Linked DNA regions of Oryctolagus cuniculus. The protein of the gene in region 1 interacts with the protein of each later gene in a pairwise test. Links are inferred from orthologs where the notes say so. Each region holds a gene or a part of one and is shown in the gene's direction. Other genes may lie near its edges.

Region 1 (4,169 bases):
TGCCTAGGTGGGGGAGGAGAGAACGGTCTGCGGAGATGGAGGGAGTGATAGCAAACGTGAAAGGGAGGGAGGCCAGGGTGGCTGGGTGAGGGAGCCACAGGCCTGGTCAGGGGCCCGTGGGAGGCTCGGGGAAGGGACGCGTCGGGCCTGACCCCCGGTGGCAAACGTTTCCATGAGCCCGGACGTCTGCCTCTCACGTCCCCTTGTCCCTGGGCGTGGAAGTGCCGCGGGCTCGCTGCAACCACTGGACAAGCTCATTGCAAACCGATTGCACACTTCCTGCCGCCAGCAATCAGGGCAAGGGCACGGCTGCTCAGCCTCACTGCCGGCCTTGGAGAGGGCCGCCTTAGGGCATCCAGGACCTTGTGCCTCTATCGCCGACGTCCCCAGCGCACTGGACTTCTAAGTTCTTCTGTGAGAAGTCTGCCTTCTGCCATTTTCCTATTGAATGCTCTTAATCTGTGCGACCGCTTCTAGAAGCCTCAATGCACACAGCCCCCGATCTTTTCAAAACTGCTTGTTGCTGGGAAACGAGAACATTAAAAAGTGTGCAAACTAACAGAAAAGACGCCCGGTGTGAGGCGAACACACCCCTCACCCCTGAGGCCGTGACAACCCCAAGACGTCTCCAGACGCTGCTGCGAACGTCCCCGGTGGGCAACACTGCCCCCGTTGGGGAATCTCTGCTCTCCTCACTCGCCGTGTCCGCTCCTGGAAGGCAGAGCTGACTGAAGCTAGGAGCCACTTGCCCTCGCTGCCCACCCGCGCCGGGCGCCCCCCTGGCTCCGGGCCTGTGCGATCTCCCAGCGCCCCGCCCCGCCCCCGCTGCGACCCAGGTCCTCGCGGGTTCAGCTCGAGCCACTGCTCCCACGGCCGACTTCAATCCCTCCTTCTCGGGCGTGAGCCACCCTCGCTCCTCTCCCTCCAGCACCTCCACGGCACCCGGCACGCGCGCTGAGCCTGACCCGGCCGCTTAGGCGAGGGTCTGGGAGCTGCCCCTTTCGGCGTCCACAGCCATCCCTCATCTCCCCTCGGGGTTCGGCTGCCCGACCTTTAACGCGAGGCGGCTCAAAGAACAGAAGCGGAGTGCACAAAGCTCCGCCGCCCAGCGCCCGCGAACGCCCGCGAACGCCCCGCAGAGGCGCGGCCGGCCGGCGGTCAGCGTCCACAAATAACGCGGGCCCCTCCTCCCGCACACAACTCCAGGCGCCGGCGGCACGCGGCTGGCTGCGAGGCTGGCAGCGGCAGCCCCGGCCGAGGCGTCATATGATTCCCCAATCACATGATCCCAAGAAAATGGGGTGTGGGGAGAGAGAGGAAGGGGAGGAGGAGGCTGAATTGAGAAAAAGAAACACAGCTTTCCAGGCTGGCCCCGCCTCTACGTCGAGGACTAGCCAATGGGGGCGCGGTATCTGGGATCCCCGGCCAATGGAAACAGAGGAGGGTGGGCCAGCGCGCTGAGGGGCCGGCGTCCGTGAGGGGAGCCGCGGCTGCTGCCCAGGGAGCGCGGACGCGGACGCAGGTAGCAGGGCGGCGGCGCAGGGGCTTGGAGGGGGGTGTGGGCTTAGGGGTCCTCTGGCGTCTCAGCCCGGAGGCGAGAGAAGAGCCGCTTGTGGAAACTCCTTTAGGGGTTTCTGATGCACGGGGGTAGGGGGCGCAAGCAGTCACTGCAGACACCCCCACCCGAGGGGGCTTCTCTGCCTCCCAGAACCCCGGGAGCCGCAGTCCCCCCGATTCTTGAGCCTGCCCCACCGCCTGCAGGCAGGTGCCGGCTCTTCCCCTTCTGGCGGTGAGGGTGGGGGGTGGTCCCTGAAGGGGAGGCCCGCCCGCCCGCCGCTTGTCCCGGGGCGCAGAGGGGCTTGGAGCGGGACAGGGGAGAGGTGACTGAACCCCCGGGTGGAGTCTGGCTCTTCCCCAACTTCCTCTGCCGGGGGGCGGCACGAGCTAACTTCCGCCTCTCCCCGCCACTTTTTCCTGCGCCTTCGCAGTTCACCTTTTGGGGAATTTCCTGGCCCCTTGGCCCTGGGGTTGGGAGTGCCACTTAGCGGAAGGTGCCAGGGGCTTACAGAGGCTCCGTCCTCTCCGGGCCGGGGGTGAGGGTGGGGTGAGGGAGACCCTCGCCCCATCGCCGGGGCTGTGCGCGCCTGCGTGCGTGTGGATTCGCCAGAGCGTGCACTGCACTCCCCCCACTCCAGATACAGGGCGAGGAAGATACGACAGCTAGGTCACGGGCGCCGGGTAGTCCCGGGCAGACAGGCCCCCACCTGGCGGCCTGCGCTGGGGCTGGGCACGGAGAAGCAGGTGCAGGCGGCTGCGCGGGCTCTGCCCGGGAGCTGAGGGGCGAGCGCGGACCTGGGGACTCGGTCCAGGACCAGGCGGCTCGGTCCAGGACCAGGCTGCGGCCGCGAGAGCCAGGGGGTGGCCTTCCAGGTGTGTGGGGGGCCGGGGGGGGGTACTTGAGCAAATGCAGGAAACACTTCCATTCCCTGCCTGTGCCTGGACCCCAGGCCCACCCCTCCCATGGTTTGGGGTCCCTTCCCGGGCCGGCGTGCCCTGAGCCATCAGGGCCCGCTCTCACTGGAGCTGGCACGGGGCTGGACTTCTGCCATAAAGCCTCGGGCTCCAGTTTCCCTCTGAGGGTAAAGGTCGTGCTCCTCACGCTGGATGATGGTTGCAAAGCAGTAAACAACCAGGAGTGCCCCGGCAGGCATGCGGCCCGGCCGGGAGGCAGGGTAGCGCTTCTTGGGTTGGCGGCACAGGCCCCGAGCCCGGGGAAAGACTTGTGTGGGTAGCAGGAGGCGGCTTCCCCCAGGAGCCTGTGGCCGGTTCCTCCCGCTGACTCAGATGGGCCGCCCAGCGGGCGCAGTAGCCTCTGCCCACATGTGGCTGCTTCATTTCCAGCAGAGGAGACATGGGGATGGGTGATGTGTTTGGGGACTTGACAGGGCCCTTGGTGGTGTTGGGGGCCCTCAGCACACAGGGATCTGGAAGCTGCCCTTGCCTCCGTGTCTCCTGTCCTGGGTGGGGTGGGGACCGCCGCGGGCAGCAGTGAGGGAGCCCTGGGGAAGACACCCGAGTCTCCACTGGCTGCCACTTCCTGTTTCACAACTTTTCTTAACCCTGTGGCGTCCGTGTCAGGAAGTGACCACTGGGCCCTGCGAGACCACAGCAAGGGCAGGTGTGGGTGCAGCGTTGGGAGGACTGGCTGAGGAGTGGGGAGCCTTGGATGTTCCTGGAGAAGCCCCTCCTGTACCCCAGCCCCATCCTCTCCCCTGGCCCTGAGCCCCCCCCCCCGAGGTGGCCCACGTCTCCACACATCACATCCACAGAATCCACACTGCGTCTCACAAGCCCGCGTCTGCACACTCGCACACGGAGACGCAGGAGTGTCACGTGCTTGGAACATGCAATGACACACAGGGAGGAAGCTGCGTCCGAGCCACACGTTTCTGCGTCGGGACGGAGCTGGGAGGCAGGCTCCAGGTCTCCCGGGCCTGGACGTCGGCCTGGGGCTGCCTGAGCGAGCGGCTTCAGACTCTGAGGCGGCCTGGACTTCAGCTGGTTGACAGGTGCCCGTTGGTGTTCGCAGGCAGACCATGTGGGCCCTGGTGAGCTGGGTGGCCGTCATGGCAGGGCTGGTCGCTGGAACACAGTGCCCCGACGGTCAGCGCTGCCCCGAGGCCTGCTGCCTGGACCCTGGAGGAGCCGGCTACAGCTGCTGCAGCCACGTGCCGGTGAGTGCCCGGCTAAGAGCCTTCCCAAGGCGGGCAGAGGCCTTCGGTCTATTCTCTGGCCTCTCTTTGCAGGACAAATGGCCCCCGACACTGAGCAGGCGTCTGGGCAGACCCTGCCAGGTGGGTGCCCACTGCACCCACGGCGCCTCCTGCGTCCTCACCGTCTCGGGCACCTCCAGCTGCTGCCCCTTTCCGGAGGTGAGGGCACCGCTTATGCAGTGGAGGGGCTCGGAGCTGCCTTTGCACTTTGCCTGCCTGCCTCCCGCCCCCCGCCCCCTCGGGTAGGAGGGCCATCCCGACGCAGGCGCCTCTGTGTCCCACAGGCTGTGTCCTGCGCGGATGGCCGTCACTGCTGCCCTCGGGGCTTCCACTGCAGCGCGGATGGGCGAGCCTGCTTCCGGGCGGCAGGTGCGGCAGGGGCACAGGGGAGGGCCG
Region 2 (3,395 bases), on another chromosome or scaffold:
GGATGCTGGCCCTGCAGGCCGGGGCTTTAACCCACTGCGCTACAGCGCCTGCCCCAAGCAACATCTTAACTGAGCCAAACAGCTGCCCCTGATGCAATCCAGCACTTTCTACCACAGGCTCCAAGTGGGACTTTGGGCGGCCCGAATCTCCCCGATGTTGCCAGGCCTGGTCTCCCTGCCCCTCTGCCACCCACGTCCCCTTGGGGCGGCCCGAATCTCCCCAATGTTGCCAGGCCTGGTCTCCCTGCCCCTCTGCCACCCACGTCCCCTTGGGGCGGCCCGAATCTCCCCGATGTTGCCAGGCCTGGTCTCCCTGCCCCTCTGCCACCCACGTCCCCTTGGGGCGGCCCGAATCTCCCCGATGTTGCCAGGCCTGGTCTCCCTGCCCCTCTGCCACCCACGTCCCCTTGGGGTGGCCCGAATCTCCCCAATGTTGCCAGGCCTGGTCTCCCTGCCCCTCTGCCACCCACGTCCCCTTGGGGCGGCCCGAATCTCCCCGATGTTGCCAGGCCTGGTCTCCCTGCCCCTCTGCCACCCACGTCCCCTTGGGGTGCAGTCTCCAGCAGACCTGAGAAAGATGTGGCTGTGCAGGACTTCGCTGAGGGACAGCTCAGGAGAGAAGCGGCAGGGAGTGAGGGGCGGGGACAAGGGTGAGAGCTCGGTCAAGAAGGACTGGAGGGTGTGGCCAGCGTGGAGAAGGGGGGCGTGGGCTCAGAGTGGGGGGCATCTGAGCCCAGGGGGCCGTGCAGCCCTGGGAGGCCCTGGGAAGGGAGGGGTGGGAGGGACTGGGTGGGCCCTGGAATCCTGTGGGGCACTTGGCGGGGGGTACAGGGCATCCCCCGTACTCAGGCATGGATGGATTGGGGTACGGGCCACCTGATGACCCTGAGGAGAGCCTCCAGGGGTTGGGAGGCAGACCTGAGCAGGGTGTAACATCGGGACGGTCCCCCAATGTCCCCAATGCCCCAGGGGTGGTGCAGAGCATCAAGGACCACATGACCAAGCCCACGGCCATGGCACGGGGCCGCGTGGCCCACCTCATTGAGTGGAAGGGCTGGAGCGCCCAGCGATCGGGCTGGGAGCTGTCCCCGGCCGAGGACGAGCGCTACCACTGCCTCCCGGATGAGCTGCGGGAGGCCCGCTTTGCAGCAGGTCAGCGGGAAGGGGGAGGGGAGAGGGGGCCCGGCCGCTCTGCAGGGGTGGAGTGCGGCCTCTGGGAGCGGGGTCACTGTATGGGCACCATGTGGGTGGCAGAGAAGGCACAGGGTGGGTGTGGCTGGGTGTGATTGGCAGCCCCGAGAGGTGGCCCCTCAGCCGGTCTTGGTGCCAGCGCTCCCCCCACCTGCCCATACCCCACTGTCCCCAGGGGTCGCCGAGCAGTTTGCCATCACAGAGGCCACACTGAGCGCCTGGTCCTCGCTGGACGGTGAGGAGCTGCACCTCGAGACCAGCCCCCAGGACACGGATCAGCTCCAGGGTACAGCCCGGGGGGCCTGGGCTGGGGTGGGTGGTGCAGAACTGAGGCCAGAGGCCTGCGGCCACCCCAGGCTGTGTGAGGCGGGCAAGACCCTTCCTTCCCCAGCTTTCGTTTTCTCATCTGTACAATGGACCCACTGCCCAGCGGGTGCCACCCACATGGGGAGAGGGGGTGATGAGCACTTTCTGCTTGCAATGTCCCTTACTGCGCTGTGGCACTGGGAGTAGGTCCCATCGTCCCCTTCTTACAACTAAGGCAACGGAGGCACCAGGAGGCCCTGAAGCTCACCCCAGGTGACACAGCCAGAGGGTCAGAGTGAGGATGTGAAACTGGGCACCGGGCACAGCCAAGCACCTGGCCCCAACCCTGTACCCTCCCTGGAGTGGCAGAGAGGAGGTGGACACAGGGAGGTTCAGGGGCCTGGCCAAGGTCACACACTGGGCAGCCGCAGTGGGGCGTGGGGTAGGGGTTGTGGGCGGGCCATCCTCCCACCTGGAGGGGCCACTATTCAGGAGCCCGGATGCATCCGCCCCCCTATCTGCTTTGCAGGCCTGCAGGACAGCTTCCTGAGCGGCCCATCACGGGATGACAGCCTCCTGGCCTTCTCCTCGCCTGGCCACTCCCCTGATGAGTGGCCCTCCCCCTCTCCCCTCCCCCCTGCCAGCCCCCAGCCCCCCAGCCCTGAGCAGCAGCACCGGCAGCGGCTGCCTGGGGGCCTGGGGCCCGAGGCAGGGGGCTGCCTGCAGGGGTCGCTCCCCTCGGTGGACAGCGGCTCCCTCTCCGAAGAGGAAGACGAGGTTTTCTATAACTGAGGTGGGGGCTGCACGGGGCCAGCACCTGCCCACACCGTGACCTTGGCCAGTCCGTAGCCCAGGCACATCTGGACTCTGGGAATGCCGCTGGGCAGCTCTCCACCTCTTGGGGCAGGCTCAGGGAGGAGGCGGCAGGGATGAGGGCTGGCGCTCCTGTGGGTCACTCTGTGCTCCGGTGGACCCGGCCATCAGAGGCAGCCTGAGTCCCCCTTCTCTGTCTTTCCCAGGCTCAGGGGGCACTGCCCCTTGCCCCTTGTCTTCAGGGAGCTCAAGGACAGCGACAGATGCTGGGGCCATGGCCCCCAGAGACGCTGCTGCCAGGATCCCAGGCCGATGGCCTCGTGGGGACAGAGAGACCCAGTAGGAGTGGGGCTGGGGACCCTGCCTTGCCCTGGGCTCAGTCCCCCGCCTGTGCACCTGCTCCCTAGGGAAGATGAGGTCACCTCCCTGGAGGCACAGCCCCTGCTCATTGGCACCTTCAGAGCGTCTCTGTGTCTGGAGTGTCCACCTGGCTCTCCCCGTCCCGAACCTGCTCCCTCGGTGCCCCCACTGCCACCCCCGTCGTCCTCACGGTGCCCTGGTATTAAAGCGGTGGGTTCACCTGCATGCACTTGGCTGGTCTTTGCTGGGGAAGGCGGGTGCCTGGGCCCCTGGGCAGGGGTTCTGGAGGCCCCATGGAGTGTTAAGTTTAAGAGACAGGTCTGAGAAGGCTCCAAGACACCCGGTCAAGGTAGGGGAGCCATTTGTTGTGAGAGCAGCAGAAGGTGGAGGAGGATGCGAGCCACCTGGACAGCAGACGGGGTTCTGAGAAGGCTCAGCCCCCTGAGTTGCGGGTGGCCATCTTTTTTGGCTCCTTGCCTGAGCAGGGCCTCGAGTTCTTGCAGAAACCCACACCTACCGCAATAAATGGACTTGGAGGAATAAAGCCCCTTGGCCAGGGCTGGTCAGAGTCCGCAGTGAACTTTCATCCGCCCGTGGCTAGGAGGGAGCCTGCAGTCTCAGGCAGTGAATACCGGGGTCATGTTGCTTTCATCAGGTGTGGGATTAGCCATCTGTGTCTCAAGGCCCAACATGGAGGATGCCCTAGACACTGGACGCCCCAAGGG
Region 3 (4,125 bases), on another chromosome or scaffold:
CGCTCTCCTAGACACACGGGCGCGCACACCTGGTCTCGGCGCCTCGCTAAGAGCAGCCGTTACACTCACGTGACCTCAGCAGCAATGTTTTCGCAGGCCAGGGAGCGGGCGCCGTCAGCCCAGCCCAGCCTCCTGGGCTGCGAGGCAGGCCGAAAAGCGAATGAGGCGGCAGGGGGGTCGAACCAAGCCTGCTTCAAGGGATCCCAGAGGGTGCGGCCTCAACAGGGAGCAGCGGAAGCCCGGGTGGCGCGGGGCGGTCTAGTGCCCCACGCCGGCCTCCAGCGTCAGAGCAAATCTAGGGCGCCCTGAAATGGGACGAAACTCGAACAGCTGCCAAGAGCGACCTAAAGCCCGTTCGAACGCCAAACGCTTCTCACCGAGAACTGAGAACCAGAAGCCGTAGAGACAGATGCCGCCGCCATCTTCCGGAGTGCCCGGCGCTCTGAGTTCTCGTGCTCTTCAAGATTCGAGAGCCGCCCACCAGGGGCGACCCTAAACCGAACCCCGGATGGAAGGGGCGGGGGGTGCTGGATGCCCAGCTTAGAAACCCCAGCCACACACCCCCACGGCGACGCCCACGCTCAGGGCGCACGCGGAGAGGGCAACACGCATTAACGGACGTCTGCAGTAGCCAATCAAATAAAGCGGACGTCTTCGCGTATGCGAGAGAACCCGCCCCCCTGCTGACGTCACAAGGTAGAGAGTCACTGAGCGCGCCCGGGACCCGTAACTGCGCGCCGCCGGGGCCTCAGGGCGTTCTACCCAGGGGCGGGTCTTCCCACGGAGGGAACTGGGGCGAGGGGATTGTGTGGTCGCCAGTGGCAACGGAACTGAATTGTTGAACTAGAGTAAAGGCGAATGCGAAGTCCAAACCACTCCATCACGTCCCTTGGATCAAACGCCTGAGAAAACCTCAGTTTGAGTTGGGGACGCCTCTCCAGGTGAAGTACTTACCTTTTGGCCAATAACATAGGATTGGGCGGGGCTTAGTGATTTGGCCCAAGAGAAGTCAAGGGGAAAATGTCGAGGCAGGGCAAATCTTTCGCGAATCCTTGCCCAATTGGATCGGGGCTCCCTCACCCAGGCCTCGGACTGGCTGCTAGGGAGCGCGGCGACGGGGACCTTTGGGCGGGGCTGGTTTCAAGCGGGTTTCGCGCGCTGAGAGCGCCGGGCTGTCATTGGCCGGCGACTTCCTCCCTTTGTGGGCGCGCTCTGCGTAGTTGGGGCTCGGCGTTGGGAGGAGCGACCGGGTGACGTAGTATCCGCTGCAGCCAATCAGGCGTGCGGAAGGGAGGCCGAGAAGGAAGCGGATCCGCGGCCGTGCAGCTGAACCGCCCCGAACTCTCGGCGTCGTCTCCCTCCGCCGCTGTCGGGGCCTAAGCGGGAGAGGCGGGGACGGCCCCGCTGGGTGGGCTGGGGCGGAAGTGGAGGCGGAGGGAGACGACGGCGGCGTCGTCCGCGGGGCCTCGGGCTCTCGCGGCGAGGCCCTGGTGGGCGCGAGGCAGGGGGAGGGGGCGGAGGAGGAGTCCGCAGCGCGGGCCGCGGCGGCCGAGTTCCCCGTGGGGCCCCGCCTCGGAGCGGGCGGCGGCGACGGCGGAGGAGGAGACTGAGGGGCAGGATGGCGGCCTCGGCCCTGTACGCCTGCACCAAGTGTACCCAGCGCTATCCCTTCGAGGAGCTCTCCCAGGGCCAACAGCTCTGCAAGGTCCGTGGGCAGCGGGCTGGCGGGGTTTCCTGTGCCGTAACCCGAGGGTGCTGGGTGGTCGCTGCGCTGCAGCCCCCTGCTCTTCACGAGCACCAGGGGGCTTGGGAGCCCGGAGTCCTAGCCTCCCCACCGGGACCCGGGACCCCGCGTTCCGATGGCGTTGGCACCGGCCGGGAAAAGGCCCACGAGAGGGAGACCGTCTTCCAGACGGGCCGGGAGGGGGCCGGTCCTCACCAGCGTCCGGGGGTCTCGGGTGGGGCTGAGTGAGGCAGCCACCTGTCTCTGCCGCAGAGACTCTGGGGTGGAGATGTTTTCATCTCGGTGTTCTGCCTGGTCTGTCCTCGCCTTCCACCAGGAGGCAGGGGACGGTTTTTGCACTTTCTTGCTAGGAACCCGAAGCCGCCAAGCTGATGGCATCCTTCTTCCCTGTCCAGGAAAGCGAAGCGACTGGTTTGGGAACAGAATGCTCTATGATTTGGAGCTCCTCCCATCCCATTAAAGCCGGAATGCTGTCTGTGAGCAACGGTGAAAATAAGTAGTTCCACATTTAACCAATCCTTGAAATCGGCCCTGACAGCTTTCTTACTTTATCCGGAGTATAGTCCCACGTGTAATAAAGACAAAGACACCTCTGCCTTCCCTAAGGAATTATATCGTGATTGGCCACTTACATGACAAATCACCAATTGTTTACGTTAGGGGCCAGGTTTTATTGTTGTTCTAGACATCTGACCAGATTTGGTAATAATTTTCTACCAGAAAAGTAAGGTTTGGGACTTGGAGATATCTACATACTGACTAACGTATTGTCTTATTGCAGGAATGTCGGATTGCACATCCTATTGTAAAATGTACTTACTGCAGATCAGAATTCCAACAAGAGAGGTTTGTACATCAGTTTTTGATCGTTAAAGACAGAATACCATCTGGAAGGAGTACTTGGGGGTTGTAATCTGGTATTTATATCATCTTAAAAAATGGTTTAGTCTCTGAGACTTTGAGTTGTAAATGTTTTATATGTGGTAGGAGAGAATATAGAAAATGAAACAGTGGTGGTCATTTTACTACCTGAACTGGACGTGGAAAAATAAAGGCTAAGATACTAGTGTGGAAAATGTGCAGCCATGCTAAGAAGAATGGAAGGGTGAAGATTACTGTTAAGCTACAGAAGATAGCGTGTGAATGGATCTGAGGACAGGTCTACAGTGTTATCAACTGCCTTATTTTGATAGTGAAATCTGGTAACTTGGTACCAGTAGAATTGCATACTTTTTAACAAGTAATTCCGGGTTGGGAGCACTCAAGAAGGTAACCTAGGAGAAGTGCAGATAATTTCTAAATAAGTAGAGATGGTCATTGTAATAATAGACAAAGGCCATGTGGAAGATGAGGTAGGCAGGCACTGATACGTAATGCTGTGCATTAATAATGGCAAGTGTGGGAAGGTTGTCCAACTAGAGAGGAAACTCTAGGATTTTGTTTTGTATCCTTTAAAAAGCACACAATAAAAATGTGTAAAAACATCTGTGTTAAGTTAATGGAAAAGGAATAAATTGGGGTAAAATAGCCCAAATAAGAACTTTGTGTAGGTATTGTTAAAAAGTGAAGGTGTATTACAATTTTAAGTATCATAGATATTTGACTCATCAGTTTACTTAGTTCATCATTGTGCGGATCATCTCAGAAGCTTACATAAATATGATCTTTCATACGTAATTTCTTTTTCAGCAAAACTAACACAATTTGTAAGAAGTGTGCTCAAAATGTGAAGCAATTTGGGACAGTAAGTATGTCTTCTATTTTAATTTCCTATTGTTACTGATCAGTTAAGGTTTATCCCAAAGGTGTACTGCTTAAAAAATATGCATTGCTATATCTGTGTGTATTTTAACATGTCAGAATACTTTATGAAAATACTTTCTGTAGACAGTCTGATGGAACGTTCACAACATTTAAAAACAGTGGAAATATGCAAATGTTTTATGTACTGTATTTTAAATTTCATGTGCAAGTCACAGTTACTGTTTAAAAGCTATTGTTTTAGAGATTCAAATATAGCAAACTCCTGGATAGGGAGAGCCTACTTGTTTATAAAGTTGGTATAATCAGACTTCCCTGGCAGCACAATTCAGGTATTTTTTGACAATGCTCATGACATTCACCTGGTAAAGATTGTCCTATATAAGGGCACTGCAGAAAGTTTAGGGAAAAATGAAAATTAAAAAATGCACATTTTCTGTCAACTTTCTGAATATTTTAGTCATTATTGGTATGTTATCCTGATATTAGTTAAGGTGCTGAGTTGTCTGTCAATATTGAAAAAAATCAGAGTGTAGTTCTTAAGGTTGAAGTTTAATATCTTGTGCCTGTTTTTTTAAGTTGAAAACTACCTGTAATGTTGTGTTCTTTATATCATCTGT
Region 4 (3,500 bases), on another chromosome or scaffold:
ATTTTTTTTGAGTGTTCCTGTGGGCAGTTTTCTTTGGAACTTGTTACTAAGTAAACAAGATTTCCGTATGAATGCAGATTCCCTTTCATAGGAAGTGTAGTTATTTTTTATGCGTGGTGCCACTTCCCCATCCTGCTCTGTGAGCATTAAAGAGCAGCTGCGTAGGAGGGCTGGGGCCAGGAGTGGGCTGAGCGCACTCAGTGCTGGGCTCCAGAGGTCGGTAGGCTACAGCTGGCCGCAGGCTTTGTGACTCGGGTGGTGTGGGAACACACACGCACCCTGCAAGTGGGCGCTGTGGCTCTGGCCGTGGCTGTGGCTATGGCTGTTCTATACCCTGTAACAGAACTGAGGAGCTGCAGAGTCTGGAATGTTCACTGTTGGCCTGTGAGAGCATGTTGCTAGCTCCTGATCTACCCCATAACCCCCGTACGAGGGAACTTAAGAGAGTTCAAGGGAAAAATGGGAAGTCCGTGCATTTTTTACGATGTGCATTTTCTGTGAGCCTTCTGAACACTTTTTTTTTTGGTAAAGATTTATTTATTTGAGAGGCAGAGTTACAGACAGAGAGACAAAGAGAGATCTTCCATCCGCTGGTTCACTCTCTAAATGGCCGCAACGGCTGGAGCTGAGCCAATCCGAAGCCAGGAGCCAGGAGCTTCTTCAGGTCTCTCACGTGGCTGCAGGGGCCCAAGCACTTGGGCCATCTTCTACTGCCTTCCCAGGCCATCAGGAGAGCTGGATTGGAAGAGGAGCAGCCGGGACACGAACTGGTGCCCTTATGGGATGCTGCTGCCACAGGTGGAGGCTTAGTCTACTATACCATAGCTCCAGTCCTTTGACCACTTCTTGTATGCATGAATTTCAGAATTTTTAACATCGAAATTATCTTTTAATTCTATTTTCAACGAGCTTTTGAAGTACCCTTGTATTACCTAGAGAAGAATCCAGATCAGTTTGAATTGGGATGATTTACTCTGTGGGAGCAGACAGACGAGAAGTAAAGTCATTCTGTCGGTCTGTAGCACATGTTAGCAGTGGAAAAGTTGATCTGCTTTTCTGGACTGTGTTAATAACATCAATGGGTTTTAGATTTTTGTGTAAAAAAACTACTTCCTGTTGAAATGTTTTTCCTTTTTGCAGTATTGAATATGAAACCTTCGACATACTGGAGGATGAAGAAGTAAGTTTTGTATTTTGTGTTTTGTCCTTAGTCTTGGTTTTAACAGTCAGGGTATGACAGGAAGGCTTCAGGGTCCCTGTTGTCTGTTTAGGTTCGGCAAGGGTTGAAAGCGTACTCCAGCTGGCCGACGTACCCTCAGCTCTACGTGAAGGGAGAGCTTGTGGGAGGACTGGATATTGTCAAGGTAAGCTCCTCATCTGCTGTCCTGAGAACTGGAGACCTGGGCGCCTTTGAAATCCACGCTTCACACTGGGTGTGGACCCTGGGCCCATCTCTGGGTGCATACTCTGGGCCCATCTCTCTGGGTGCATACTCTGAGCCCATCTCTCTGGGTGCAGACCCTGGGCCCGTCTCACTGGGTGTGGACCCTGGGCCCATCTCTCTGGGTTCAGACCCTGGGCCCGTCTCACTGGGTGTGGACCCTGGGCCCATCTCTCTGGGTGCAGACCCTGGGCCCGTCTCACTGGGTGTGGACCCTGGGCCCATCTCACTGGGTGCATACCCTGGGCCCGTCTCACTGGGTGCGGACCCTGGGCCCATCTCTCTGGGTGCAGACCCTGGGCCCGTCTCTCTGGGTGCAGACCCTGGGCCCATCTCTCTGGGTGCAGACCCTGGGCCCGTCTCTCTGGGTGCAGACCCTGGGCCCATCTCACTGGGTGCATACCCTGGGCCCGTCTCACTGGTGTGGACCCTGGGCCCATCTCTGGGTGCAGACCCTGAGCCCATCTCACTGGGTGCATACCCTGGACCCATCTCACTGGTGTGGACCCTGGGCCCGTCTCTCTGGGTGTGGACCCTGGGCCCGTCTGTTCTCCAGCTGCTTGTTCAGTCCCTTCTAGCCCAGGGTGGGCGTCCCTGTGTGTACAGTGTCGTGTCCTCTCACTGCACTTGCCCTGCACTTGCCCTGCCAGACCCTCCCAGGCCCTCCTCTCTGCCCCCAGCGCCTCTTCACCACCTGCCGGCCAGAGTCCACTCTGCCAGGTTACGTGATTTTAGTTTCCCTTGTGCTGTACTCGGCCAGGCAGAGGTTCCTGTCGTATTTTCCTGGTTTTCGGCATTCCTCCACCATCCCCTTGGCTTTGGATTTTCTTACAAATTCTATATTTAAATCTCTTTTCTGTGTCTTTCAAGGCCAACCTGTCAGCGAATCAGTCAGATTCTTGCAGCCAGAAGCATTGCTCCTGCTGTTGAAGTTGCCTGTCCCTTTATTGCTTTGTTGTTAGCATTCTGGTTATTAGAATGACTGCTAGTCTGCACTCGAGTGCATGGAGCGGGAAGAGGAGCAGGAAGCCGTGGGCTACAGGCTGCTGGAGGCCTACAGCCGGCGCGGCCCCGCCTGCCACACCCAGAGCCAGGGTCGCTGGGCTTGGTCTCCTGGGGAAAGATGCAGATCCCTCTTTGCTTTTCAGATGCCAGGGAATCCTCGCGTCAGGTAGCGTGTGCGTTCTGAATCCTCGCGTCAGGTAGCGTGTGCGTTCTGAATCCTCGTGTCAGGTAGCATGTGTGTTCTGAATCCGTCCTGTTGTCCTGCCTTTCCTGGGGTGGATGAAGGGCTTTAACTTGCTCTATGTGAACTCTCAGGACTCTTAAGTGGACATGGCTTTCCTTATGTTTCGGGTCCAGGATGTAGGACGGCTGGCTTCTTCCCACCCGTGTGCATCACAGCAACACTGGTTTGTGCAAACCCATGTGGCAGCTGCAGCGTCAGTGCCTGGAAGCATCGCCCCTGCCCAGGCCCGCCCTGGACACTGGGGATGAGGAGGAGGACAGCAAGGGGCGGGGGCTGAGTGGGAGGTTGGGCTTTTCTGGAGAGGTGGGAGCCAGCGGTCACAGAAGGTGAAGGTGGGTGGCAGCTCCCCGGGGCCCGGCTGGGAAACTGCGTCCAGCCTGCCCCGGCTGCCTGCTTAGCGGAACAGGTGGCGCAGGCAGTGCCACCTCTGGTCAGGTCAGGAGCGGCCGTCCTGTGCTCCTGACCGCGGCTCCAGCCGTTTGCTTCGTGTGGCTGCTCCTGTGCAGCTTTGTCCCCGAGTTCCAGGTCTGATGTGATGCCTCTTAAAAAGGCCAGTGAGGCGTTTTCCTGTTTTCTTAGTAAACTATCTCACTCCTGGAGGGAGAACTGTACCTTCATAATGGCCCCAAAGCAACAAAAATAGATCTGCACTGGGTATTTTATGTATGTGTGTCCTTTGTAAGACAGTCTTCAGACCCCGGATTCTCCCAGCGTGTTCTTGTCTGAGTGTTTTATAGCCTGCACCTCCGCCATGTAGCTCTTGGGAAGACACAATCAATAAATCTCATTTAACTGTAAAAGCTGAGCTGC
Region 5 (3,500 bases), about 25 Mb from region 1:
TTCTCGTGCTCGTCCTGGGAAGAAAATAGAATATTTTTTTTAAGATTTATTTACTTATTTGAAAGAGTTACAGAGAGAAGGAGAGGCAAAAAGAAAGAGAAAGAAAGCAGTCTTCCATCCACTGGTTCACTCTCCAGTTGGCCACAATGGCCAGAGCTGCGCTGATCAAAGCCAGGAGTCAGGAGCTTCTTCCAGGTCTCCATGGGTGCAGGGGCCCAAGAACTTGAGCCATCTTCTTCTTCTTCTTTTTTTTTTAGAAATTTTTTTTGTTTGTTTTTAAGATTTATTTATTTAAAAGTTACACAGAGAGAGGAGAGACAGAGAGAGAAAGAGATCTTCCATCTGATGGTTCACTCCCCAACTGGCCGCAATGGTCGGAACTGCGCCAATCCAAAGCTAGGAACCAGGAGCTTCTTTGGGTCTCCCACATGGGTGCAGGGTCCCAAGGACTTGTGCCATCTTCCACTGCTTTCCCAGGCCAAGCATAGAGCTGGATCAGAAGTGGAGCAGCCAGGACCTGAACCAGCACCCATATGGGATGCTGGTACTTTAGGCCAGGTTGTTAACCTGCTGCGCCACAGCACCAGCCCTGGGCCATCTTCTATTGCTTTCCCAGGCCATAGCAGAGAGCTGGATTGCAAGTGGAGCAGCTGGGACACTAAACGGTGCCCATATGGCATGCTGGCACTGCAGGCGGCGGCTTCACCTGCCACGCCATAGCACCAGCCCTGTGGGAAGAATTTTTTTAAGATACATCATTTTATATAGAAACAGTGATGTTTGAGACCAGATTATTTATTGATATAAAGTATTTTCTACCTGTATCATTGAACTTTAGAAGTTCAGAAGTCTACCAAGTTTTTGGCGTTTTGCTTTGTTTTTGCTCTTCCATTTGTAGCTGTAGTTTCTGCTCGATAATATTTTGATTATCTTTCCTGTTTAGATTTGTGATTTTGGATTGGCCAGAGTTGAAGAATTGGATGAATCCCGTCATATGACTCAGGAAGTTGTTACTCAGTATTATCGGGCTCCGGAAATCCTGATGGGCAGCCGTCATTACAGCAATGCTATTGACATCTGGTCTGTCGGATGTATCTTTGCAGAACTACTAGGACGAAGAATATTGTTTCAGGCACAGAGTCCCATTCAGCAGGTATGATTTTATTTTAAGGCTTTAGTAACTTTTCAGTTCTATTACACACATGTCTTGGGCTCATTCACTGTACTGTCAAATTTGCTTTTAGCAAATTCCAGTTCACTTAAAATTCAGAATTTTAGAAAGTTGAAGATTACAGAGAGATTCATTTGCAAGTTAGAAGCCTGTTGGAAATGTTGACTTTATTAAATGCAGCAGTCTCTGCAGTAACAGTTTGCACAGGTGTAATCTGCAGTTGTCAGAGAGCTTCTGTTCTTTCTAGCTGAGTGAATGTATCTGGTGACTTAATGTACTTACACTTTGTGCTATAAATGTGAAATTTATAATGCTGATTATTTATAAAATAAGATTTATTTGTTTTATTTGAAAGGCAGAGTTAGAGAGAGAGAGAGAGAGATGGGGGTGCGGATCTTGCATCTGCTGTCTCACTCCCCAAATGCCCGCAACAGCCAGGGCTGAGCCAGAGCAAAGCGCTTCAACTTCACCCAGGTCTATCACATGGGTGCAGGGGCCCAGATACTTGGGCCGTCTTTTGCTACTGTCCCAGGTGCATTAGCAGGGAGCTGGATCAGAAGTGGAGCAGCTGGGAATTGAACTGGTACCCACATGGAACTCCAGCGCTACTGACAGCTGCTTAACCTGCTACACCACAGCACTGGCTCAATGCTGACCTCTGTAAATCTGATCACTGGAGAAAATTTTCTAACTTTTTTTGTTGAGCTAAATTATTTGTGGGAGAAGACATCAGGAGATAATTAAAATGTTTCCTTAAGGAACCATGTTACTTTATCTTTATATCTAATTCATTTTTATGCACATTGTCTTGGGATAATTCCTAAGTGTTTTTATTCACAAATTTTAGTAATATTATTTACATGGAAATAATGTAACAACAGTGAGCTCAGGCTGTGGAATTAGATTGGTAGGTTCAAAACCTAGCTCTGTTACTTCCTACCTATTAAACCTTTGGTGACTTAGTTAACCTCTCTGAAGTGGTAAAGCTGAAACTAAGGCCTTTATATGGTAAGCACTCATTAATCATTAGCAATTATGTTGATGGTAGTATGCCAGGATGCTCGGGTACTGTGGTAAGACAGACAAAGTTACTTTAATCCTGCCTTTGTAAAACTTTCAGGTGAGACTGAAACTAAGTAAATGTGCAAATAGATATAGTCCCAAGTAATAATAAATTTCATGAGGAAAACTTAAAAAGTTTAGGAATAAACAATGATGGGAGGGCAGAATGACCCTAAAGGATTATATGAGGGAGCATCATGCTGTGGAGGAGTGTTCCAAGAAGAGGGACAGCACAAGCAGCATAAAAAAGTCCTGAGGCATGAACAGCTGTGTCCTGTTGGAGGGTGGAATGATCAAAGAACAGCCTGTAGGAGATGACAACATCAGGGGCCAGCACTGTGGCATAGCGGGTAAGGCTGCCGCCTATGGTGCCGGCATCCCATATGGGTGCCGTTTTGAGTCCTGGCTGCTCCACTCCCAGTCCAGCTCTCTGCTATGGCCTAGGAAAGCAGTAGAAGATGGCCCAAGTCCTTGGGCCCCTGCACCCACATGAGAGACTTGGAGGAAGCTCCTGGTTCCTGGCTTCAGATAAGCCCAGCTCCGGCCCTTGTGGCCAACTGGGGAGTAAACCAGTGGATGGAAGACGTCCTCTCCTCTCCTTTTGCCTCTCCGTCTCTCTCTCTCTATGACTCTTTCAAATAAATAAATCTTAATCAAAAAAAAAAAAAAAGGAGATAACATCAAGAGAGGGAAAGGGCCTGACCCTGGTGACCTGATAAGGACTTTGTATTTTATTTTGTGATGGAAAGATAGATGAAAGCTTTGAACTAGGGAGTGTTAAGATTTGATTGATCATATTTCAAAAGATCGCCTGGCTACTATGTATCTTTATAAATAATTCATGTACTGGACCAGAGATAGAATAATTAATTCTACCCTCTTTGTCCAACAAATTATTAACTAGTTTGTTAGAAACTATATATGCTGTGATGAACATTTAAATTTGTTTCTCTGTCATTCAAAATCTATTTTTTAAATATTTATTTTTATTTTATTTGAAAAGCACACAGACAGAAACAGGGACAGATAGAGATCTTCCATCTGCCAGCTTACTCCTCAAATAAAACAGCCAGGTCTGGGCTAAGCCAAAACCAGGAGCTCAGAACTCCATTTACATCTCCTGTGAAAGTGATAGAAACCCAAATACTTGAGCCATCATCTGCTGCCTCCTAAGATGCACATTAGCAGGAACTGGATCAGAAGCAAAGTAGCTGGACTCAACCCAGGCACTCTGATAGAGGATATAGGTGTTCCATGGAAGTTTAGG
Region 6 (4,274 bases), on another chromosome or scaffold:
GCTGCGGCAGGGGCGCGCGTGGTGCACAGCCCCACAGACAGGGGCCCGTCCACATGATGGCCGCTCCCCAGAGGGGACGTCGTGAGCCCCCGCCGCCCCTTCAGGGCAAGCAGGTCCAGGTGGGCACAGAGCCCGGGGGCGGGGCTGCCTCCGCACCCTCAGGGCTCTGCACCGGACAGGGGCCTGAGGGAGGGAGTGGGTCCTTTGGACGAAGGACCCGCTGTCCCGTGCTGCTCCTTTGGAGGCACCACCGGCCTGGCATGGGGGAGGGGAGCCCCATTCCTCCTCTGACCAGGTAGGCCTGGATCCCCAGACCACACGGTCCCCTCCCGTCGGCCCCCTGTCACGGAACTTCCCTCTTTCATGGTCATCACAGGAGAGGTCAGGGACCCAGGCTGCCCAGGCAGGCAGCCCTGGGCCACTCTGTGGGACATATGATGCTGACCGTGGCCTCCTGCTGGGAGCCTCGCACCTGGCCCACCTGTTGGCGCGGTCTGATGACCCCCAGGACACGGGAGGATGGCTACTTCCAATGGAGCCCCAGGGGTCTTGGCCACTGCCTGGAGGATGCTGAGGGCCTGCCTGGTCCACAGCCCCCTAAACACCTGTGGGAAACGCCCTGGGGCGGAGATGGGCGTGGTGCTTGTCCAGGTGAGCTTACAGTCCCCAGGGAGACCCAGGGCTCCTGTGGGTGGGGCTCTGCCAGCTGACAGGAATAGAAAGTCGCCTCAAGGGGCCGGTGCCGAGGCGTAGCCGGTAAAGCCGACGCCTGCAACGCTGGCACCCGTGTGGGCATCAGTGCCGGTCCTGGCCGCTCCACTTCCAACCCAGCTCCCTGCTATGACCCGGGAAAGCAGCACACGATGCCCCAGGTGCTTGGGCCCTGCACCCACGTGGGAGACTGGGAGAAGCTCCGGGCTCCCGGCTCCAGCCTGGCCCAGCCCCTGTCATCTGGGGAGTGAAGCAGTGCAGGGAAGGTGATCTCTCCGGACCTCCGCCCTTTAAATCAGTACACCTGTCAGGTGAAAGGCGCCACCAGGAAGGTGCGCCCACAGAGCTCCATCCCGGGCGACAGCCACGCTGAGACCGGGTGGACACCAGCGGGCAGGCCACGCTCACGGCCAAGGTCATTGGCACTTGCCAGCCCTGAGTTTAACTCCTGCTGTAGGCGACGACGCCACCACACAGTCAAAAACAAAGCAAAAGCCATGGACAGCGAGAGGTCACCAAGCCCACAGCTTCCACCGCTCACCTGCCTGGGCCTGGAACCTGAGTGGCGTCCACTCCGCCCCACGGACCCGCGCAGGGCACCCGGGGACCCACCCGCTCTCCTCCTCCGGAGACCCCGACCCGCGGGGACACCCCGCTCACGGTGCCCGGGACCCGCCCCCGCGCAGCCCCGACCCTCCTCCCGCCCGGACCCCGGCGACCACAGGGAAGGTGCGTCTCCATGGCGACCGGCTGGGGTGGCGGCCGGAAGTCCCGCCCCGCCGCGCTGACAGCCTCCCGTGAGGCCTTGCAAAGCGCAACGTTGCCGGAAGCTGGTGGCCGCGGGGGGCGATCCGCGCGCGGTGCGGGTGGCGGAGCAAGCCTGTCCTGGACCCCAGCCCCGGCCGGCCTCTTCTCCAGGTGAGCGCGCGGCCCAGTCCCTGGCGCGGGCTCCCGGCCCTGTCGGGCGACGTCGCTGTCGGGCGCGCGGGGCCTTCCCGGGCGGACCCCCGCACCCCTTCCCTCGCGAGCCTGAGTCCGCCCGCGGTTCCAGGGGCGCCGCCCGCCGCGGCTCTGCGTGGGCCCGGTGCCGGGCGGGGCGCAGGCTCCGAGGCCGCGGTCCGGCCGCAGGCGCCCGCGGAGTGGCAGCCGCCTTGCCGGCCCCCGCGTTGGTGCGGACGCTGGTGTTGCGGGAGAGAGGGCGGGGGCGGGCTCCTCACGCGGCCTTTCGCGTGCGTGGGCTTGCGGGCCAGGGCGGCGGGACGACCCTTCCCGAGCGGCTGGCGCGGTGCGGGGCTTCGGGGCGGCGGGGGCCGGGCTCGGGCGCGGGTCCTCGCCGCGTGCGGTGTTCCGAGCGAGACGGGCACCCGCGTTCTGCCCCGCAGGAGGGGACATCGGGGTCCTTGGACGCTCCGGAGAGTGGGCGGGGGCGGCGCGGAGGGCGCGGGGGCTGCGGACGTCGGCGTGGGCCCCGGGGGCCTCCCTGAGCCGAGCGGGGCCTCGGCCGTGCGCGCGTCCCCGCCGCAGCTCCCTGCGTTCCTGCGCAGGGCCGTTTGCACGTCGGTAACATCAGCCTGAGGATCGGCCGCTGTGGCGATTGCCCCAGCCCTGGCCTAGGACTTCCCGACCCCTCGCCCAGGCGCGCGCCCTCAAATGCGCCCCGGGCCCCCGTGCGGCCACTGTGACCGCAGACCTGGCGAGCGGTGCCAGCCCAGGCCCGGCAGGCAGGAGGGTGCGGGCTCCGCGCAGGAGGGTGCCCGGCGCAAGCTTGGTTTTCCCCCTTGGACCCCAGAATCCGGTGTCTGTTTCCTAACTTCACATGGCGTCAAGCTGGGTGCTGGTGCAGGGGTCAGGGGTCAGGCCGTCCTGAGCCAGAATGAAGTGGGCGGGTCCATCGTGGTTCTGTCTAAGCTGCGTCTGGACAGGAAGTGGCACCTGCGGGCTGTCTGCTCTCTGGGTGCCGGTGTCCTCGCAGCCGGCGTTGCCGTGTGACTAGGAGGGGACACGGCAGGGGCCACACGGAGTGTGTGTGTGCAGGGGGCTGAGGCCCAGGAGTGTGCGGGACCAGGCCGGGCTCACCTCACCAGGGGTGCGCGGGACCAGGCCGGGCTCACCTCACCAGGGGTGCGCGGGACCAGGCCGGGCTCACCTCACCACGGGTGCGCGGGACCAGGCCGGGCTCACCTCACCAGGGGTGCGCGGGACCAGGCCGGGCTCACCTCACCACGGGTGCGCGGGACCAGGCCGGGCTCACCTCACCATGGGTGCGCGGGACCAGGCCGGGCTCACCTCACCAGGGGTGCGCGGGACCAGGCCGGGCTCACCTCACCACGGGTGCGCGGGACCAGGCCGGGCTCACCTCACCACGGGTGCGCGGGACCAGGCCGGGCTCACCTCACCAGGGGTGCGCGGGACCAGGCCGGGCTCACCTCACCAGGGGTGCGCGGGACCAGGCCGGGCTCACCTCACCACGGGTGCGCGGGACCAGGCCGGGCTCACCTCACCACGGGTGCGCGGGACCAGGCCGGGCTCACCTCACCAGGGGTGCGCGGGACCAGGCCGGGCTCACCTCACCAGGGGTGCGCGGGACCAGGCCGGGCTCACCTCACCAGGGGTGCGCGGGACCAGGCCGGGCTCACCTCACCAGGGGTGCGCGGGACCAGGCCGGGCTCACCTCACCACGGGTGCGCGGGACCAGGCCGGGCTCACCTCACCACGGGTGCGCGGGACCAGGCCGGGCTCACCTCACCACGGGTGCGCGGGACCAGGCCGGGCTCACCTCACCACGGGTGCGCGGGACCAGGCCGGGCTCACCTCACCAGGGGTGCGCGGGACCAGGCCGGGCTCACCTCACCAGGGGTGCGCGGGACCAGGCCGGGCTCACCTCACCATGGGTGCGCGGGACCAGGCCGGGCTCACCTCACCAGGGGTGCGCGGGACCAGGCCGGGCTCACCTCACCATGGGTGCGCGGGACCAGGCCGGGCTCACCTCACCATGGGTGCGCGGGACCAGGCCGGGCTCACCTCACCATGGGTGCGCGGGACCAGGCCGGGCTCACCTCACCATGGGTGCGCGGGACCAGGCCGGGCTCACCTCACCAGGGGTGCGCGGGACCAGGCCGGGCTCACCTCACCAGGGGTGCGCGGGACCAGGCCGGGCTCACCTCACCAGGGGTGCGCGGGACCAGGCCGGGCTCACCTCACCAGGGGTGTGCGGGACCAGGCCGGGCTCACCTCACCACGGGTGCGCGGGACCAGGCCGGGCTCACCTCACCAGGGGTGCGCGGGACCAGGCCGGGCTCACCTCACCAGGGGTGCGCGGGACCAGGGCTCCACCCCTGCCCCCAGCTGGAAGCTTGGATTGTGTGAGTTTTCTGGTTGCGAGTCAATCGGCCACGCGCCGAAGCCAGTGCATCCTTAGGAAATGAGAAGTTTTTCTGCTGGACCTGGGCCTGGCTGCCACTGTCCCTGCTGGTGGTCACGGGGGTCCTGCTGCGCCCAGAGGGAGCTCAGGGTGGCCCCTCGAGGACCTGCCCCAGACCCCCAGGCTGGCCTTTCCACACCGA
Region 7 (4,145 bases), on another chromosome or scaffold:
TCCAGTGTCAGTCAGTGAGGAGCAGAGATGGTCGCGCTGCTTCAGGCTCTGCCCTCTGGTGCAGCTGCCACTTTGTCACTGACAGCGGCCATTGCTGATTCTGGAAGGCATGAAGGCCTGCAGTGACCTCAGGGTCCCTAGCAGAGGTGGAAGCCCTCCTTGGTGGGTGGGGCGGCCTCCAAGTGCAGGATTGCATTGGCTGGCAAGTGGCCATTTTGTGCATAATGAGTGGAGGTAGGCCGGGCCCTGGGTTTCTGTTTTCACCATGCCACCCCTGCTGTGTGCATGCAATGAAACCCTCCCTTTTCCTTCCCTGGAGGCACAGTCCCCTTCCTGGGCAGGGGGAGACCCCACTGTTGGGCCGTTTAGTTTTGGCCCTGGATGTTACTGCTGCAGCTTTCCTCTCTGTCCTCCCTGGCACTTGGACAGTGAGGTAGCACGTCAACAGCCAGTCTCGTGGTAAAACCACAGCTTCCGGGGACCAGCGCTCTGGCACAGTAAGTGAGCCCCTGGCTACCCCACTTCTGATCCAGCTCTCTGCTGATGGCCTGGGAAAGTGGTGGAAGATAGCCTAAGTGCTTGGGCCCCTGCACCTGCATGGGAGACACAGAAGCAGCTCCTGGCTCCTGGCTTAGGTTCAGCCCAGCTCTGGCCATTGTGGCATGAACCAGTGGATGGAACACCTTTCTCTACGTAACTCTACCTCTCAAATAAATACATCTTTAAAAAACAAACAAACAAAAAAACCCACAGCTTCCCGAGCCACCTTCCATGTTGCTCCTGGGGTTTCCCCAGCCAATGGTTCTGTTCACAGATGTGGGAGACCCACAGCACGGGTGTCCCGGGGAGCTTCTACACGCCCGGCCCCTTCTGTACTTGGCCTCATTGTCTCTGTGCTGATGGCCCACGCCCTCAGGAAAGCAACCCTGGCCACCCCAGCTGTGCCAGACAGCCAGCTCCGGCCAGCTCTGATGGCCCTTGGTCCCAGGACATGCGTCACGCCCAAACAGCCTCGGTCACTTTGCGAGCGCCACTCTACCCTGAGTGGACACCATGGCGACACCACTGCAGCTGAAGACCTAGGGGGTCAGCTGGCGCAGAGTTGAGCTGTATGTGTTTGCAGAAATAAATCGGATCTTTGAGGTCAAGGAAGATAACAAAGCTGCCAAAAAGATCTGGCCTGAACCATATCCTTGCAGCCAAATCAACGTGGCTTCGCTGCCCCCAACGCCCGCTGGTCACCAGGCAGGTGCCTGCTGCCCGCCTCGGGACACGCCCTCCCATCCGCCCCCTGTGGGGACCCGCCTCTTCGCACGGCCCCGCCCCCGGCTGTGATTGGCTGTTTAGTACAGGCGTGCTGATTATTGGTGCCTTTCAAGGAGGCGAGCGAGGAGTTCGTCGTCGTATCTTAGAGTTATTGGCTCTTCTGTCCATCCATCAGCCAGCGCCGGCTTTCTTCATGCCTCATTGGCTGACGGGTGAAAGCGGGGATTTGGTAGTGGCCCAGACATGGCTGACGGCGGCGGCGGCTGGCAGGTGAGTGTGGTGGGGGTGTCGGGGACGCGCGGAGAGCTCGGCGGTCCCGGCGGCCTCTCCCAGGGAAGGGCAGGGCGGGGCGGGGGAGTCGCTGAGGCCTGGCCTCTTCGCCGCAGCCGCCGCGCCCCTGTGAAGCCTACCGCGCCGAGTGGAAGCTGTGCCGCAGCGCCAGGCACTTCCTGCACCACTACTACGTCCATGGCGAGCGGCCGTCCTGCGAGCAGTGGCGGCGCGACCTGGCCCGCTGCCGCGACTGGGAGGAGCGCCGCAGCGCAGAGGCCCAGGTGTGCGGACGGGGCGGGCGCCGGGCGGCCGGCCTCCCTCACTCCCTCCCTCCCCGCCCCGGCCTTGCCTTCTTGTGAGAAATACCCCCAGAAAAGTAGTCCTCGGACGGCGTCGGAGACAGCGATGGGAGGACCGCGCGGTGTACCCCACCGCGTAACCCAGGCCCGGAGCGGGGAGGGAGCGGGCTGTAGAGGCGTGGGGTGAGGTTGCAAAGGCGCCAGGGACCTGGTGGGCTTAGGCGAAGAGTTCGGAAGTTTCTCTCCTCAAAGTGTGCTGCCATACGAGCCAGCTCCCACACGAGCACTGGCTCCAGCCACCTGCAGCGCCAGCTCCCATACGAGCACTAGGTCGAGCCACCTGCAGCGCCAGCTCCCATACGAGCACTAGGTCGAGTCGCTGCTCCACTTCCGGTCCAGCTCCCTGCTAATGTGCCTGGGAAAGCAGTGGAGGATGGCACAAATCTTTGGGCCCCTGAACCCATGTGAGAGACCTGGATGACACTCCTGGCTTTAGCCTGGCTCGGCTCTGGCCATTGTAGCCTGCTGGGGAGTGAACCAACGGATGGAAGCCCTCTCTTTCTCTAAGTCTGTAATCTGACTTTCATATAAGAGAATCCAGGAAGGGAAGAAGGGAGGGAGGAAGGAAAGAAAATGAAGACAGTCCCTAAGTGAAAGGAAACAAAACAAAAGAGGGAGAAAGCTTGTAGCCTGTATGGCAAGAGATGGATAACATGTGTGTATGTGTATTTGAAAGAGCACTTTTCTATCAGTAAGAAAACTGGGTGGATTTTGGAATTTAAGAAAAAAAATGAGCAAAAGAAACAAAGAAGCAATTCACTGAAAAAAGAAACCAAATGTAGGCAGGTAGGCTAGTTAAAATGACAGGGAGAGTGGCTTTTGGCCAGCATGAAGTCAGAAGTGTGGATAGGGTTTAGTTAGTCCTGGCTACTTGTATAGTGCTGGTGGGGGTGTATGGTGTTCTGATGGCCCAAATGTCAAAGGCGTAGTCTTAACTTCTGGGATTTTATCCTGGGAGAGGTAAGTGGATAACATTACAGTTAGGACATTACAATCTGCATTGTGCCACTGTTTTTGACAGTACAGGAACTGAAAGTGACCCAAATTCCACTGGCAGACGTTCGACCAGATAACTTTTCCACACAGTGGGGTAGAGTCATGTCCCTGGGCGTGGGCACGGAAAGGTGCCAGCACCACATTGTTCAGGGAGAAGAGCTGGAAGTGGACTACTCAGCAGAGGCGCACCCCACCTGGGGGGCACCAGCGAGAGCGCTACTTTCTGGGTGTTGGTGAAGCTCGCTGCTCACCGCCACGTCCAGGGTGGATGTCTGGGAATCTTTTGTGTCCTCCTTTACATTGTTTACCACTTTGTAAATGAGAACAACAACAACAAAAAACATTTCAAACAATAGAGCTTGAATGCAGACAGACAGGTGGATAGGTGTACTCGTGTGTGTGATGAGGCCTGCCGGGCACCTGCCACCCACCCACCAGGGGCCCACAGTGGCAAGAGTCAGCCCGGCCATGACGCCCTCCCGCTGCGTGTGTGCTGGGCGACCACTGCCCAGGGAAGCTGCCGGGTTGCACAGCCCCGTGTCTGTGGTCGGGACTCCCCCTGGTCTTGTGCTTCATCTTCCTCCCTTCTGACCACACTTCCCCCTGCAGTGCCCCCGGCCCTCAGCCCAGGTGAACCTGCCCCAGACTTGACCAAGGCAACTGAAGCCACTGAGTCCTGAGACCCAGATGTTTTAAAATCCCTCATGTGTGTGAACATGGAGCACTTGCTAGACTATATTAGATGCAAGAGGCTGGCCGAGCAGCAGAGTGCTGGGTCCCATATGCCCCCACTTGTCCATCAGTGCTCAGAAAGGTGCTGAGAAGACGGGAGGCACAGGGGCCATGGGAGGGTGCTTGCGGACCATGAGGCCACGTGCGGGGACGTGACCAGGGTGTCTTTTTACAGCGATCCCTCTGTGAGAGTGAGCGGGCGCGGGTCCAGGCCGCACAGAAGCACGCCCTGGTGTGGACTCCGAGGCAGAGCCCTCCTGCAGACTGGCACCTCCCTCTGCCACAGGAGGAGAAGGACGAGTGACGGGCACCCCTCCACCCTCGGCTGGTGTGGCTTCATTGGATCTGTGACCAACCCCGTCTAGTGGGTCCTGCCTCCTCCCTCCCGGCTCGAGACACAGAGTGGGACGCAGGCAGCCCGACCTGTCCACTCTTCACTGCCTCAGCGCTCCCGCCACTGCAATGCTCTGAAAGTCAAGTGCACCCACCCCACAGCTTCCAGGAAGCCAAGCACTGTGG

The links.
Region 2: the proteins of GRN (region 1) and FAM131C interact in binary tests that used the Homo sapiens proteins (3 or more experiments, as listed by UniProt). The link is inferred for Oryctolagus cuniculus from reciprocal best matches to the Homo sapiens genes GRN and FAM131C.
Region 3: the proteins of GRN (region 1) and FAM76B interact in binary tests that used the Homo sapiens proteins (3 or more experiments, as listed by UniProt). The link is inferred for Oryctolagus cuniculus from reciprocal best matches to the Homo sapiens genes GRN and FAM76B.
Region 4: the proteins of GRN (region 1) and GLRX3 interact in binary tests that used the Homo sapiens proteins (3 or more experiments, as listed by UniProt). The link is inferred for Oryctolagus cuniculus from reciprocal best matches to the Homo sapiens genes GRN and GLRX3.
Region 5: the proteins of GRN (region 1) and NLK interact in binary tests that used the Homo sapiens proteins (3 or more experiments, as listed by UniProt). The two-hybrid records come from large-scale screens. The link is inferred for Oryctolagus cuniculus from reciprocal best matches to the Homo sapiens genes GRN and NLK.
Region 6: the proteins of GRN (region 1) and ARFGAP1 interact in binary tests that used the Homo sapiens proteins (3 or more experiments, as listed by UniProt). The two-hybrid records come from large-scale screens. The link is inferred for Oryctolagus cuniculus from reciprocal best matches to the Homo sapiens genes GRN and ARFGAP1.
Region 7: the proteins of GRN (region 1) and C21H22orf39 interact in binary tests that used the Homo sapiens proteins (3 or more experiments, as listed by UniProt). The link is inferred for Oryctolagus cuniculus from reciprocal best matches to the Homo sapiens genes GRN and C22orf39.

What each region holds. Positions count from the first base shown.
Region 1 is NC_091448.1:18,943,000-18,947,168, reverse strand, and holds the start of GRN (progranulin), read left to right. Parts: upstream 1-1,369; 5' UTR 1,370-1,522; intron 1,523-3,589; 5' UTR 3,590-3,596; coding exon 3,597-3,734; intron 3,735-3,806; coding exon 3,807-3,932; intron 3,933-4,057; coding exon 4,058-4,142; intron 4,143-4,169. UniProt on the Homo sapiens protein: Secreted protein that acts as a key regulator of lysosomal function and as a growth factor involved in inflammation, wound healing and cell proliferation. Regulates protein trafficking to lysosomes, and also the activity of lysosomal enzymes.
Region 2 is NC_091438.1:153,577,352-153,580,746, forward strand, and holds the end of FAM131C (protein FAM131C), read left to right. Parts: intron 1-969; coding exon 970-1,152; intron 1,153-1,366; coding exon 1,367-1,477; intron 1,478-2,026; coding exon 2,027-2,289; 3' UTR 2,290-2,290; exon of another isoform or gene 2,291-2,516; 3' UTR 2,517-2,895; downstream 2,896-3,395.
Region 3 is NC_091432.1:87,210,554-87,214,678, reverse strand, and holds the start of FAM76B (protein FAM76B), read left to right. Parts: upstream 1-1,325; 5' UTR 1,326-1,618; coding exon 1,619-1,705; intron 1,706-2,525; coding exon 2,526-2,590; intron 2,591-3,433; coding exon 3,434-3,488; intron 3,489-4,125. Other genes in the region: CEP57 (centrosomal protein of 57 kDa), read right to left, coding at 378-422. UniProt on the Homo sapiens protein: Negatively regulates the NF-kappa-B-mediated inflammatory pathway by preventing the translocation of HNRNPA2B1 from the nucleus to the cytoplasm.
Region 4 is NC_091446.1:2,025,041-2,028,540, reverse strand, and holds part of GLRX3 (glutaredoxin-3), read left to right. Parts: intron 1-1,140; coding exon 1,141-1,180; intron 1,181-1,271; coding exon 1,272-1,364; intron 1,365-3,500. UniProt on the Homo sapiens protein: Together with BOLA2, acts as a cytosolic iron-sulfur (Fe-S) cluster assembly factor that facilitates [2Fe-2S] cluster insertion into a subset of cytosolic proteins.
Region 5 is NC_091448.1:43,824,361-43,827,860, forward strand, and holds part of NLK (serine/threonine-protein kinase NLK), read left to right. Parts: intron 1-943; coding exon 944-1,153; intron 1,154-3,500. UniProt on the Homo sapiens protein: Serine/threonine-protein kinase that regulates a number of transcription factors with key roles in cell fate determination. Positive effector of the non-canonical Wnt signaling pathway, acting downstream of WNT5A, MAP3K7/TAK1 and HIPK2.
Region 6 is NC_091442.1:570,702-574,975, reverse strand, and holds the start of ARFGAP1 (ADP-ribosylation factor GTPase-activating protein 1), read left to right. Parts: upstream 1-1,474; 5' UTR 1,475-1,629; intron 1,630-4,274. UniProt on the Homo sapiens protein: GTPase-activating protein (GAP) for the ADP ribosylation factor 1 (ARF1). Involved in membrane trafficking and /or vesicle transport.
Region 7 is NC_091452.1:27,283,293-27,287,437, reverse strand, and holds the start of C21H22orf39 (synaptic plasticity regulator PANTS), read left to right. Parts: upstream 1-1,345; 5' UTR 1,346-1,509; coding exon 1,510-1,536; intron 1,537-1,652; coding exon 1,653-1,820; intron 1,821-3,801; coding exon 3,802-3,930; 3' UTR 3,931-4,145. UniProt on the Homo sapiens protein: Negatively regulates long-term potentiation and modulates adult synaptic plasticity. Stabilizes the interaction of RTN4 isoform A/Nogo-A with its receptors, inhibiting clustering of postsynaptic AMPA receptors at synaptic sites.